2 linked regions of the Notamacropus eugenii genome follow. The protein of the gene in region 1 interacts with the protein of each later gene in a biochemical or structural test. Links are inferred from orthologs where the notes say so. Each region holds a gene or a part of one and is shown on either strand. Other genes may lie near its edges.

What was found.
Region 2: the proteins of TRDN (region 1) and CASQ2 form a complex in vitro, tested with the Homo sapiens proteins (3 studies listed by BioGRID). The link is inferred for Notamacropus eugenii from reciprocal best matches to the Homo sapiens genes TRDN and CASQ2.

The regions. Positions count from the first base shown.
Region 1 is NC_092873.1:206,686,493-206,694,670, reverse strand, and holds the start of TRDN (triadin), read left to right. Parts: upstream 1-4,938; 5' UTR 4,939-5,516; coding exon 5,517-5,538; intron 5,539-8,178. UniProt on the Homo sapiens protein: Contributes to the regulation of lumenal Ca2+ release via the sarcoplasmic reticulum calcium release channels RYR1 and RYR2, a key step in triggering skeletal and heart muscle contraction.
Region 2 is NC_092873.1:295,289,359-295,296,626, reverse strand, and holds the start of CASQ2 (calsequestrin-2), read left to right. Parts: upstream 1-4,241; 5' UTR 4,242-4,504; coding exon 4,505-4,738; intron 4,739-7,268. UniProt on the Homo sapiens protein: Calsequestrin is a high-capacity, moderate affinity, calcium-binding protein and thus acts as an internal calcium store in muscle. Calcium ions are bound by clusters of acidic residues at the protein surface, especially at the interface between subunits.

The sequences.
Region 1 (8,178 bases):
GGCATATGAAGAAGTACTCTAAATCATTTTTGATTAAAGAAATGTGAATTAAAACAACTCTGAGATTCTGCCTCACATCTATCAAATTGGCTAAAATGACCAAAAACAGGAAAATGATAAATGTTGGAGAGGATGTAGGAAAATTGGGACACTAATGCACTTCTGGTGGAGCTGTGAACTGATTCAACCATTATGGAGAGCAATTTGGAACTATGCACAAAGGGTAACCAAACTGCACATACCCTTTGATTCTATAAAACCACTACTAGGCTTTTATCCCAAAGAGATCATCAAAAAGGGGAAAGGAACTACATGTACAAAAATATTTATGGCAGCCCTTTTTTGTGGTAGCAAAACATTAGAAACTGAGGAGATGCCCATCAACTGGGGAATGGCTGAACATATGAATGTGTATTGTAGGAATGTATATATGAATGGAATGGGATACTATTGTGCAATAAGAAATGATGAACAGGAACATATCAGAAAAACTTGGAAAGACTTGTACAAACTGATGCAAAGTGAAATGAGCAGAGCCAGGAAGACGCTGCGCACAATATCAACAGCATTGTATGATGACCAACTATGAATGACTCAGTTTTATTCAGCAACACGATGATCCAAGACAAATACAAAGGACTCATGAAGGAAAATGCTATCCACATTCAGATAAAGAAATGATGGCCTCAATGCAAATCAAAGCATATTTCTTTCACTTTCTTCTTTCTTGTGTTTTTTTCTTTTAATCTGTTTCTTCTTTCACAACTGTGACTAATATAGAAATATGTTTTACCTGACAACACATGTATAACCTATATCAAATTCTCTACCTTTTTTAGGAAGAGGGGAGGAGAGGGAGCAAAATTTGGAACTCAATCTTGTAAAAATGAATGCTAAAAATTATCTTGATATATAATTCATAAAAAATATTATTAATAAAAAAACTGAAAAAAATATTGAGAAAATCCTCTTTACTGCTTGTTCTGGAAAGACAGAGGATGAAAGATAAATTGGGGAGAAATAGAAATTTACTTTCAGTAATGACAGTCTCATACTGAGACAATTCAGCGGTAAGGCTGGTTATAAATCATTATCCAAGATCTTCTATCCTCTCTTTATAAAAATTTCTCTGGTTTCTCCAGTTGGAAAGGATTCTTCCCTCAGGAACTACACCCAAAGGAGAACTTTATAGTGTTATACATATTCTAATTATACATAATCTACTACAAGATTCTGCACATGTCTTATGACCCCTTCTAGACCCTAAATTTCTTAAAGATACAGGCCATTTCCTACTTATATTTGTATATGCTCCAGTCTCTAGCCTACTACACTGCACAGATTAAATTCTTAATAAATGTTGAATGATGGGTATAATAGGATCAGAGAAATAACATGATTTAAACCATTGAATAGGATACTACAGGCCTAAATTCAATTCTAGACCTATATGGAAAGTTATAGAATTCCATTATTTCATACATTTTTCATTTTGTAAAAACAAGGATATCTTTGTTGGTACTGCTTTGTCATTACACCCTAGGTACCACGAGATTTTTGCATTTGATTTGAAATGAAAGTCTTCCAAATGGGTGAGCTCTTTGAAAATGGGAAATATCTTTCTTTTCTTTTCATATCTCTGGGACTTTGAACATAGTGCTTAATATATGCTTCATTCATTCATTCATTGTAGGAACTAGAAATGTAATTTTATAATAAGTACGTTCTCCTTGAAAACAAAAGGTCTCTTTCTCTTTCTTTCTTTCTTCCTTCCTTTCTTCCTTCCTTCCTTCCTTCCTTCCTTCCTTCCTTCCTTCCTTCCTTCCTTCCTTCCTTCCTTCCTTCCTTCCTCTCTCTCTCTCTCTCTCTCTCTCTCTCTCTCTCTCTCTCTCTCTCTCTCTTTCTTTCTTTCCTTCTTTCTTTGTAACTAGCACACTGCCAACACATAGTAGGGACACAATAAATGCTGCTTGGTGGACTGATTGGAAAGATGAAAACTAACTAGATCTTGAGAATTGTTCACATTTTAGACTGAATGATGGTTCTCAATTACATGGCCCTTTAAAGGCCATACTTCAAAGGCATCCTCTGAGGGAGATAATGTAAATATCATTCCTAGTTTACAGACAAAAAAATAGCCTTAGAAAAGTAAAATGGCTTGCCCATGACCGCGTACCTAATATGTTGAAGAGCTAGGATACGTAACCAAATCTCTTGACTCCTTATTTAAGTCTTCCAGGACACTTATAAAAAATTATAAAAGACCTTGGAGACTATCTAGTCCAACCCATACCTGCAGAACTCCCTCTATAATATCCCTCACAAGTAGCCATCTAGTCTCAGTTTAATGACCTCAATCCACTGCCACTTAAGACAACAACCCATAAATCGACCCTAAAGGTTTAAGGGTTTAATGAGTGTCTCAAAACTAAGCAGCTTATTCCCTGGGAAGGTATATTCATTATTTGAGTTTCCAGGAGAAAGACATTATACACACCTACTGAAATGCTTAGCAGATGCTTGTTTGCTAACTGATTGATGCTTTCATTGACAAGATAGTCAGCTTTTAGTTTTCTGAAGGTATCAAGTGATCCAGTTTAGCAACAAAATGGTATTTGCCAAAACCTGAATAGGGCTCTTATGAGAAATACATTATATTCTCAATGAAAGAAACATTCACAAGCTCTTTTTTGTTTTTTTGGGGAGGCTAAAAAAAAAAAAAAGGTTTTAAAGCAGCACAAAGTTTTTGTTTTTTTTTTAAATCAACTAATTTTTTTTTTTTTTTGGATCTGGCGAAGGAAATGGCAAACCACTCCAATATCTTTGCCAAGAAAATCCCAAATGGGGGTCATGAAGAGTCACACCTGACTGAAACGACTGAACAGCAGTAACAAACGTTTTGTTTTCATCCTCCTTTTCTCACATATACTTCATGAATGAATGGGGGAGAGGAATACTAATGAAGTTTCATTATTCTTTGTTGGTTCCAGTGTGGAATCTCTCTCTACTTATCATAAAATATAAGCTCCTTGAGTCTGACTCTATTTTATTATATCCCCAGAGACCAACACAATGCTATGGTCATAGTGTACCTAATGAATGGTTAGTGATTGGTAATAAATGGTTAATTCTTCTATGTTTTATAGAGGTCACTCAGGTAGTATTTCTCAGATGTAGAACTTAAAACCTTGATTAGTACAAATTTAAAATTTATGTTTGACAAGACTGGCTGACATGAAGTCATTTTTCAAGGGGGGGAGGTTGTGGCACAGGGGAAATTTGGCATCAGTAATTGACTAGCCATTTTATTTAAAGCAGCTAGGTGGCACATTGGATAGGGCTAGGCTGAGAGTCAAAGACCTGTTGTACAATCCTGTCTCAAACACATAATCGGTGTTTGACCCTAAGAAAGTTATTTAATCTCTTTTAGCCTTGGTTTCTTTTTCTATCGAATGAGGAGGTGGGATTCAGCGGCCTCTAAGGTAATATTTATGAAGTCCTTAGCATAGTGCCTGGCACATAGTACATATGGCATAAATGCTCATTCCCTTGTCTTTCCCTCTAAGGACCCTGCCAGTCCTGAATCAGTGATTTTGTGATTTTCACTCTGGGGAACAAATGACCCTGTTCTCTGTTTTTATTGGCTGAGATGACTGACTGTACTGAAAAGCAATTAAAATGCTTGATGGATTTAAACATTAAGACCTATTTTGTCCAAAGATTAAAAATATTTGAGTGAAATTAAATGGAAAGGGTCTTGGGGGCATAAACTGGGAAGGAACTAATTGCCCTAGTATCAAACACTGACCTTCTAGCCTGCATTTGCCTTCAGAGTGCTCTGATTCTTCTAGTGAGCCAAACTGTGATACCCACCATTATCTGCAAGTAGTAAGTATGTGAATCCCACTGGAGGTTTCCATAATGTAGAGACTACAACAAATATGGAAAATATTCATATTCTAGGAGAAAAAACCAACAAGTTGAAGATAAAAAGGTTAGCTAACCTAAAGTTGTCTTGGTTAGGAAGATGGAACTCATACATAGGAACTGTCAAGACTTAAGAATTTAGGAACTGTTTATGAATTTATGAATTATCAATGGCCTTTGAGCCTCCATCTCCCACCTCTACTATCAATCATTAGAATATTTCTTTGTTCATTATCACCTTACCCTAGGTGGGACGGTGAAATACAATCAGCTAATTTGACTAATTATTAAGCATCCCAGATCATCTTGAGAGAGGACGAGGGCTATAGAGAAGAAACTTGACATTACTTTGTAAGATGAGGTTTGAGAATTACTTGTGACTATAACCCTCTCTCCACCTTCCCTCCACCAAGATGACTGCAAGAGATTTAAGTTTTCTGCAAAGTTTTTTATTGCACATAAATGTTTAGAATGCATGGGTCCCCCAGTATTGTATGGTACAAGGGTGTGGAATCTGTGGCCTCAAGGCCACATGTGGCCCTCTAGGTCCTCAAGTATAGTCTTTTGACTGAATCCAAACTTCACAGAACAAACCGACATCAGCCCTTTGACTGAATCCAAACTTTTGTTCTGTGAAGTTTGGATTCAGTCAATGGGCCATACTTGAGGACCTAGAGGGCCACATGTGGCCTTGAGGGAGGTAGCAGTTTCTCTACTCATGGTCTAGTAAATTCAAAAGCTGTGGGTTATGATTATTATTTTCTTTCAGTATTTGACAGCCACTTTCTCCCATGTGAAACTATTAACTTGAGGAAGCTACAGGTCTTAGTAGCTGTGCTGACAAATGTGACCTTGCATTAATAAGTAGAGTCACCAAGGGGAGCTGGGACAGACAGAGATTCACATTGGAGAGAATTACCTAAGTCTGTCCTCCCCTTTGGCTCCGGGAGACAGCAAGGGACCCTCCCCAGCCCAAATAAGGAAAGGGAGAATGTACCCGGCATTGAGTGCACTAAGAATAAACCTGAGCTCCTGTGGATAAGGTTACTCTCAACACATTTTGTTTTCTGTGACACAGACCCCAAAGATCTGTAATTATCCTGGGATTGCTGTGGGGGTTTGCCTGCTTCTTCCTAGTTATTTTGCCTGTGTGTGAGCACGTGTGCATCTGTTGGTGCCCGGGATCTTTCCATCTCTCGGCTTGGTTGCTCCCCTTTGGCACTGGAGAGCTGGTGTGCTTGTGCTCCCGGGTGTGTGGATGTGTGTGGAGGTGGGGGTGGGGGGGTCTCAGCAGTGCCAAGTCCGAGGGAGGCAGGCAGGGCTATTTTTGTTCGAAGCTGATACTTTTTGCATGAGTTAAAGTCACTGCCTAGAAGAGGGTTCAGGTTGTTTCCGGGGGGAGAACTGTGCAGAAGAGACCCAAAGTTCAACGAAGCCCCAAGAAGCAGCTAGAACAGCAAGGAAAAAAGCAGGGGCCCCCCACAAGTGAACAGTGCACCCTCTGGCTGGGCCAGCTCCAGGACCCTGAAGCATTCTTCAGACTGCCATCTTAACAGCACTTTTTTAAACTAACACTCACCCCTGCCACCATGACTGAGATCACAGCAGAAGGTACTGTAACCATTTTCTAACACAACTGTAGGGAGATCTTGAATATGACAGATGCACTGAATTGATGTACAACAGATGGAAAGAGGCCCCTGCCATTTTCAGACTGGAATACACAGCGTGGTGTATGTTGTTTGTGATTGTGTAGGGGGCTGGGGCCTCAGGGGACTTTGTTGTGGGGGTGAGATGGGAAGGGTTCTATACGTGTCTGCTTTGTTGTGGGGGAACTGTTAAGGGCTGGCCGGTGGGCCTACTGGTTAAAAAACTTATTGGCCCCCAATTCTATAAATAGCTCTGTATCTGTAATATGAGAGTAGGTGCCTGAGTATGAACCTTCCATGAGAGTGGGTGGAGTTTATGCTAAACTTAAACAATTAGGCTTAATATTTATCCTTGAAGATATCTTGTTTTTAAACACACACAGACACGTGTGTACATATACATATATGTACATATACACAGCTGAGTTAATTCAAGATTAGCATTTTACTTCTTTTCTTGTAGCTTATCATATATAAAAATATGTATGTATCTTCCTACATATGTGTATATAAATATATACAAAAGTCTTAGTGCAATTTAAAATATTAATAGTTTAAAATCATTAATTGTTTAAAATTATACTAAGGCTTTCGGAATACCTTGTGTAGTCACACAAACATGAAAATATGCTTAGTCTAAAATAGTCTTGGTATATTTTATATTCCGTTGAACATTCAGCTGAATATTTTTATAGTAAAACAAAATTACTTTAGATCAATGAGAGAGAGAGAGAGGAGAGGGAGAGGGAGGGAGAGAGAGAGAGAGAGAGAGAGAGAGAGAGAGAGAGAGAGAGAGAGAGAGAGAGAGAGAGAGAGAGAGAGAGGAGACATAGTTTAGTTTCCAAAAATCCAAATTCCTTGCCCACTGATAAGGAAGAAATCTGCTAAAGGAAAGACGTCACCTCCATTCTTTAGAAAAATGAGAACACATTTAATATAGCTTTTAAGTTTCAGAGTTCAGAGCTCATCTATCTCTAATTTGCTTCTGGCAGTTAGAAGAAAATGAAACAGGTGGTCCTTAGTGCTCGACAGTTTCCAGATTGGAGTGTTGGCCAGAGGAGCTGGTGAAATAGGAGGTTTGTGGTCTTAGCTCTTTGTGAGGTTATTAGGCCAGGGTCAAATTTTCAGTTCCTTATTTTTCTTTGCAAGCTTGTAGCTGGAAATTGTCATGAGAATCTAAGAAATAATCATTTGCATTTTCCAAATGTTTTATGCCTTGTAATTTAAAAGACACCAAAATTTAACATTATTCAATCTACCATTTAGAATTTGGAGGCTGAATGTGAACAGTTTTGTGTTATTTTGTTTCTTCTATTGTTTGAGGACCAACATTTATAAAGCAATTTATACAGGAATTTAAAATTTGCAAAAACCCTTTACATGTCATTTCCTCTGAGCATTAAAAAAATCTTTTTTAGTTACTACATACATTATAATCCACATTTTATATATGAGAAAACTGAGTCATAAAGCTAGTATGTATCTAAGGGGAGATTTGAGCCCAGGTTTTCCCAACCTGAAGTCCAGCATTTTGGAAGAGTTGAATAAATGCTTATTAATCTGTTTGATATACGACTCACGTTCTATTTGGTTTATTCTTGGAGAAGGCTCTACATGATAACCACAACTCCAGCCCTGTGCATGGTATTTAGAGACACGTGTCCTTAGTTCTTTACCTCTGAATAGCATTGACCTTCAGCAGAATTATAATACCAACTGGCTAAAATAAACCATTCCTTACTTGTACTTGGAGCAGGCTCAGTAGATCTTTGCAATTGTTTGTGGAAGCTTTCTGCAAGTGAAGTCTTGGTTACATGCTAAAATGCTAGTTCCTACTGTCCCCAAGTGTAGCATTTTAGGAGCAGTGGGGATGATATCCTTCCTTTTTGTATGTCGTATATACAGTAATCAACATTTAGAATCTAATTTCTTAAATGACCCTCAGCCAGAGCTCAGAATATTATCTATGCCCTGACTACTCCAGCTTCATAGGATCTTAAATCCCTGCATCGTCATTTCCAGCTTTTTCTCTCTCCTTTTATGTCTTTCATTTCAGTGATAGTCAAATGCCATTAGCCTGTCTGCTAGAGAGAGCTTGCCCCTGAAGATAGGTGTTAGAGTTAATGCATAAGGGTGTTCAAGGTGCCCTCTCCAACTATTAAGCTATGTATTATAACACACTTTCTTTGCCTTTGCTCTCGGGCACTTCTGCTTAACTTAAACAATATGTCACACTTTGCTGTAGCTAAACTATTTATCAAATGGCCTTCTCCTTCATTTGCTACATATCAAGGAAAAGGATTATGGAATTTTAGAGCTAGGAGAAACCTCAGAGACAATCTAGTCTACCATGCCTGCCCCTTCAACCCTCATCTTTATTTCTGTATGAGAAAACTGAAACCCAGAGAGATCAAGAGACTGGCCCATAATCACACATAGAGTTAGTTTGTTGTGGAAGGCTGTTCAGACTTGTGCCGTGGGTGCTAGTGATACTGGAAACCATTTAACTGTGCATATATCTCATGGCTCTTCCCTACTGCCCCTCTGTCTGTCTCTCCCTCCTCAGATACCATCTCTACACAGATGCCTGCCAGATTCATAT
Region 2 (7,268 bases), about 89 Mb from region 1:
AATAGAGAAGATAAGGGAAGGGAGGGGTGTGATAGAAGGGAGGGCAGATTGGGGGAAGGGGTAATCAGAATGCTGAGTGTCTTGAGGTGGGAGGAGGGGAGAGATGGGGAGAAAATGTGTAACTCAAAATCTTGTGGAAATGAATGTTAAAAACTAAAATTAAATAAATTTTTTAAAAAAACAATGTGAACAATTGTTTCTTCATGTACATGAGCAGCTAATATCAATCAATAAAGAAGCAGTGTGTGTGTGTATGTGTGTGTGAGTGTGTGTGTATGTGTGTGACTCTTTCCCCAGAGTCATCATTACCAAGATAGGGAAGACCACACACCATACAAGAAAGGCTTGGATCCTTTATAGTTTTGGGTGGTCTTGGAAAAACCTTCCTTCTGGGGGGAAGCCATATGGTCAAAATGGAGAGAAGCCAAAAATTTGAGTTCTCCTGCTGAACTGGCAGATAAAGAGGTCAGGGCCTAGCACACTTGCATTTGAAAACAGGAGGGAATGTAGACCAGATCAGATCAGAAACAGAAGCAAAGTACTAATAAGATCAGATGAGTTTGGCATCCAAAGTGGACTGAAGTGAAGTCCACAGTCTCCTCTGTCTACTTACTTTCCCAGAACACTGCCCAAGGAAGTTTAACTTGTCCAGCATTAACCTGTTTCTTCCTGGATCTCCCTCTGAGGAAAAGAGGGGATGAGGAAAGGGAGGAGGAAGGAGTAGAAAGAAATTCAACATCCTCCTAAAACTGCAAATCACGTTCCAACATGCTGTACTTTAATTCCTGTCTGTGTTTCTATACTATTTGCAGTTGCTATGAAAATATAGTCATTTACCATGATTTTATTTCAAGTCTATTAAGTGCACAGTTTGAGACTGAAACATGGGGAGCTAATTGAAAGGAACAAATTTTTCCCCCAAAAGAGGCTGGGGTGGGGACTGATGAAGCAATTAAAGAGAATTTCTGAAATTTTAGTAATATTTCAGAGCTTCTTCATACCTTAGACTGCTTTTTAAATCCAGGAAGAGACTTAATGAGAGAATAAACAAGGAAGACCTGAGTTTAAGGCCTGACTTGCACATACACTGACTGTGTGATCTTGGGCAGCTCTCAATGCCCCAGGTAAATCTCTTCAGCTCCAAGTTGTGATATAATTACAAACCTGCATTGGCAGAGGAATTTTTTTAATCTTGAGTTCCCTAAGCTAATGTAATTACAGGTACAGTATAAATAGGTATGTGTGTGTGTGTGTATCAGTAATAGTAATGCAACCTTTCATATATATGTATATGTGTACATATGCACACACATATATACATACATATATCTACAGATGTATATATGTGTATGCATATATTATAAATATATATGAAATATTACTTTGCAGATGATGAGTTCATTATCTCTGAGAACAAGAGAAAAACAGGAAATGGGCTAAAATGACAGAATGAGGGCTCACAAAACCATAGCTTTAGACCTGAAAAGCACTTTAGAGATTATCTAGTCTTTCTCTCCCATTTTACACATAAGGAAATTAAGACAGAGAGACAGATCTTATATGCTTTGCTCAGAGTCAGTGGCAGAAGTGGGATAGAAATATGGAATTTCTGGCAATAAGGGAGTAAGACAGTACTCAGAGTTTCTGACAGTTTCTGTGGAATCTCATTTTGTGGTGTTGCTCTTATTGGTTTATTCATTAAGTCAGTGTAGAGTCACATGTAATATTGGATGGTTTGAATGTCCCCAAGATAGCAGAAGGTTACAGATGAAGCCCCCAGGCATGTGAGTCAATACATACATATATAGGAGTGAGAGGGAAAGAATATCCCCCATTTTCATCATTCCACATCTTAGAAGAGGAATATCCTCCCCCTCTTCATGAGGAGGAGCAGTAAGTGTTTTCATTTGGTGTCCTAGCAAAGCCCAGGCTGGAGGGCAGTGGGGAAACCGTTGTTCTTCAGTCTTTCAGCTGCGATTAACTCTTCATGACCCCCTGGGCCATCACAATCCAGGTCCTTCTGGACACTTCCAGACACTTCCAGATCTGTTTAAGCTCATGTTCATTGTTTCCATGACACTAACTTCTCATTCTTTGTCATCCCCTTTTCCTTTTGCCTTCAATCTTCCCCAACATCAGAGTCTTTTCCAATGAGTCCCATCTTCTCATTATGTGGTCAAAGTATTTAAGGATAAGGAATATATAATATGTGATATAATATATAATATAACTTCTACATTATATTGTATGATGTTATACTATATGATATGATATAATATATAAGTGATACAGTGGGAAGCAATAAATCTATAGATGAAGAGCTCAGAGTACATTGCAAGCTTTCCCCAAAATACTAGCAATAATTGTGAACTGGTCCAACGTGGAATACAATTTAGAGCCATGTTACTGGTCATATACCCTAAGTAGGTCAAAGATGGAGGGAAAAGTCATACATAAGTATATATGTATATATATATATATATATACATATACACACACACACACACACACATATATATATATATATATATATATATATATATATATATATATATATATATATATATATATATATATATATATATATATATATATATATATATATCAAGACAGTAATATCAGTACTTTTGGGGAAGCAGCAAAATAAACAAGCAAACCAGAAAAAAAAACTGGAAACAAGGTAGGTGGTCATAGGTTTGGAAATGACTGAACAAATTGTGATATGGCATTTGAATATAATAGAATATTATTGTCTCATATGAAATAAAGACTGAGGGATGAGAACAACTTGTTTGAATTGCTATGAAGCAAAATCTGTAAAACCCCTGATAAAATATATACAATGACTACAATAATGTGAAGAAAACAATTCTAAAGGGACATCAATATTCAGATCAATATAATGCCTCATTGTGACTCCAGATGACTGATGCTCAAACATGAATTTCTTCTCTCAGTAGTCAAGTGGGGGCACCATGATTGTATAATAAGGCATACATTGTCTAACATATTCCATTTGGCAGTTGGATTTTCCCAACTGTACTCCTTTGTTTAAAATAAAAAAAGGAACAATCTACTGGGGTAAGACAGTTAATGGGATTTGAAGTCAATGCTGTTTTTTTTAAAGCACTGGTAAAACATTTACAAAGAATTCTTCCCACTTTCTTTCCATCGTTGCACAAAATACACCAATGGTAGCTGGAATGAGGACCTGTGCATGAGTTGCTTGAAGGTAAAATTAGGAGACTGTTGTGCAAGAGTACTGGCTGTCGGTTGATTGTTGTCCTTCATCTTCGAAGATGACCAAAATGACATCACTATTGTAAAGTGAAATTTCAGTGTGTCCTACTGTGGCTGATCACACCAATACAAGCTCAGAATGCTCTAACACAAGTTGGGCACAGAGAGTCCACATGAATATTTGGGGTGGATATCCCAAATTTGTGCATCCTATATTTACTTTGTGCTGTCTCAATTCTGCTTTGCTCAAAGAGCACAGCACCTTTTCTTATGTGGGCATGCCATGCTAAGTGGTCCTGTGCCAGTGTCTCCCATGTTGCACAGTCAAATCCAAAGTTCTTGAGAGAGACCTTGAGAGTGTCCTTGTATAGTTTCTTCTGGCCACCATGTGATCGCCTGCCCCATGCAAGTTCTCCATAAAATAGTTGGGGCAGGTGATCACATGGTGGCCAGAAGAAACTATACAAGGACACTGTCAAGGTACCAGCTGTAGAGTTTGTGAAACTGAATTCCTTTTCCTCCCCCACACCTACTACTAGTGTGGTCTTAGGCAAGTCATTGAACCTCTAGGGGTCTCAGTTTCTTCATTTGTAAAATGAAGGAGTAGAATTAGATGAGATCTAAGGTCCTTTCCAACTCTAAATTCTATAATTCTACTAATTAACTGAATTACCTTTCAAGACCCTGTCCAACCCAAAGATTCCATACCTGTGGGGTATATTGTGATCCTTTTTCAAAATATCCATTAGCTAATTGGAGCCCTTGAACCTTATCTCTTTTCTCCTCTCTTCTTTCTGTGTCCTTTATAGCCATCTCACTGATTTCTGCATTCTCTTCTCCCCCCTCCACCCACCTCCATAGTGTCAGCGAATCCCTCAATAGTGTCATATCTGTCCTTTTTATTCATTGCAGGGTTTATTTTTAGCCTGAAACAACTGCATCCTAAAAATGGAGTTCCTCACAACACAGGAGTTGGGCCAAGCTATGTAAGGTATCTCGGCTTTGGCTTGACAGCTTCCCCTGCCTGTCTCTCTTTGTACACGCACATGTGTGTGAGACCGTCTGGGGCTCTTTGTCCTGAGTCCCATAACTGCAAAGTTAACTGGGCTGGAAGAGTTTGGATCAAACAACAGAAGGGCAAAAGAAAGGCAAATTCCATATAAACTGGTTCTAGCCCTTGGCTCCAACACGACCCAAGTAGCCTTTTCTTCTTTACTGCACTGGATTATTTCTAGGGAAGGACAGGCAGAGAGGGTCATCCTCAATGAAGGTAGCTTCTCTTTTACTAGTGGGTTTTTACCTGCTGCCTTCTTGTAGGACAGAAGAGGGACTGAACTTCCCCAGTTATGATGGGAAGGACCGGGTAATAAGTCTCAATGAGAAGAACTACAAGCAACTTCTGAAGAAATATGACCTGCTCTGCCTCTTCTACCATGAGCCAGTGTCTTCTGATAAAGTCTCCCAAAAGCAGTTCCAAATGAAAGAAATTGTCCTAGAGGTAAGTGGACAACATGCCTGCAAAAGTTGTCCAAATGAGTATATGGACATTTGTGTGTATGTTTAGGGATGTATGTGTATGTGTGTGTTTACTCAGGGGAATCTGTGGTGGGAGCATGTGAGTAGAGTACATTAATATCTAGTGGTGCCTTGATCTCACATCTATTTCAGTCCAAATATGTCTCTACAGTACCAATTGGGTCACAGAACGAGCCACCTGACCAAGAAGCAACATTCAGAAACATGGCCCCACATAGGAATGATGTACAGCACTCATGTGTGAGCTGTCTTTGGTTTTCCAGGAGTTGTTTTCCCCAAATCTCTTATCCCTTTGGCAGTCTTTGATTCCCTCATCTTGGGGTAAGGCTTCCACTGGAGGCCATGTAGGGAAAAATAAAAGCAAGGAGTTGACATCCAGTAGTTTGCCCATGGGTTCTGGCAAAAGGTTGAGCAAAAGATTTACGCAATATAATGAGATGTAGTGAGATTTGGGGATTACCCGTGTGTCTTATTCACTGGTCCTTGGTCCTCCAGAACTAGACACTGACCTTTGCTCTATCCATTGATAAGGTGGGAAAACAATACAAAATGAGTCTTGTTCTATCTCATTTTGTTATTGTTGTTTAGTCATTTTCAATCTCATAATTTGGCTCAAATCTACATGAGTAGAGATTAACTCAAAGAGTTTTTTCTCATAAAAGTCTGTTAGTTGGGAAAAGACACTGGTAGAAGACAGCTCTCATTTCATCTGGTTCATATGGGCTGTTTATAGCCTGGCATGGTGCCAAGTGTGCAATCTACTGTGAATGTGTGGAGGGTTTGTCCTTTAGAGGCCATCTAGACATCTTAAGATCTCTGTAATTGCCAGTACCCACAAGTGCCAGGCATTCTAGGAGGCTCTTAGATTTCTTTTCAGTCAAAGCTATGCTCTCCTTCTTAACGTGACTACCTAGCACAGCCTTGTCCACGTGGAAAATACCAGTTGGAGATTAGGGTAGTCTCTCTATTATCTGATTTACTCAGAGTGTTCTAGTTAATCCAAGAATAGCCAGATCTTTGGATAATGATAAAGTTACCATTTATAGAACACACTGATCATCAGCTTTCAAAGAATTAAAATATAATAAGAGCATACAAGAACAAAACTAAGCTGACTATAGATGGTCTCTGAGAATTCAGAAACTAAAGACCTTGCAGGGTGTTAGGGTTATGTCTAAAATAATACATTTTACCTAGCAGTCTAAGATTTATGAAGTACTTGGCTTATGGCAAGCTTGCAAAGTAATATCTTTATTAAAGATATTATATCTCTAATAAATATTTTAATAAATGTTTCAAGTATTTAATAATAAAATTTAAATTTATTTTAAAATAAAATATTTTTTAAAAAATATTTTAATAAAAATAAAGATATCTTTATTATCTTTATTTTTCAGAAGTGGAAAATGAGGCTCACATGTGTTGTCCAGAGTTGCATAACAAGTAAAGAACCAGAATGGTCATCTGACACCAGCTCTAATATGCTTCCCATTACACAAAAGAAAAATATGTTTTTAAATACTTATGATGTGTCCCAGTATTATGCTAAGTGCTTTACAAATATATCTCATTTGATCCTCCCACAAAACCCTGGTTGTTAAATTTTTATTATATCTACTTTACAGATGAGGAAACTGATGCAAATGAGGTTAAGTGACCTGCACAGCAACTAAGTATCTGAGGCTGGAATTGAACTCATGTCCTTCTGACTCCAGATTCAGCATTCCAACCCTCTGGGACACTTATCCGCCTCTAACTATGTGGTTTAAGAACAAGCAGCTGGAATGGGAAATGAACCCTGAATTTAGAGTTAGAAGACCTGAATTCAAGTTCTAACTCTGGTGCTTGCTATCTGTGTGACCTCAGGCAAATAACTTCCAGATTGTGGTTTTCTCACTGATAAAATGAGAGTTGGATTACATCATTTCTAAGGTCCCTGCCAGCTCTAAATCCACTTAACCTTTGCCTCAGTTTCCTTGGCTGTAAAACGGGGATAATAAGCATCTACCTCACAGGTTTGTTGTGAAGGTCTATCTAATGAGATTATATAAAGCACTTAGCACAATGCCTAGAACATAGTAAGTGCTTAATAAATGCTAATTCCCCTTCTTCCCCCTTGTTATATCTCGGACCCTCCTTTTTTGGTCATATATTTTTGTAATGATATCTTTTATTTCATTTCTTACTCATAGTTCCTGAGGTCTTGAGATAATATTGATAATAATAATAATAAATAATGATAATAGCTAGTATTTAAATAGTGTTTTAAGGTTTGCAAAATGCTTCACAGATCTGACCTCATGTTGTTGACCTCACTGTTGTGGGTCCGGGGAGTGGCATCTATTATTATCAGTGCCAGTACTCACAGCACCATAGGCCACTCTGCCTCTGCATGTGAGCATCCATTGCCATTTCACTGACAGGATGGAGATTTAGAGTTGGGAGGGATCTTAGAGATCTCCATGTCCAACTGCCTCTCTTTACAAAGGAGT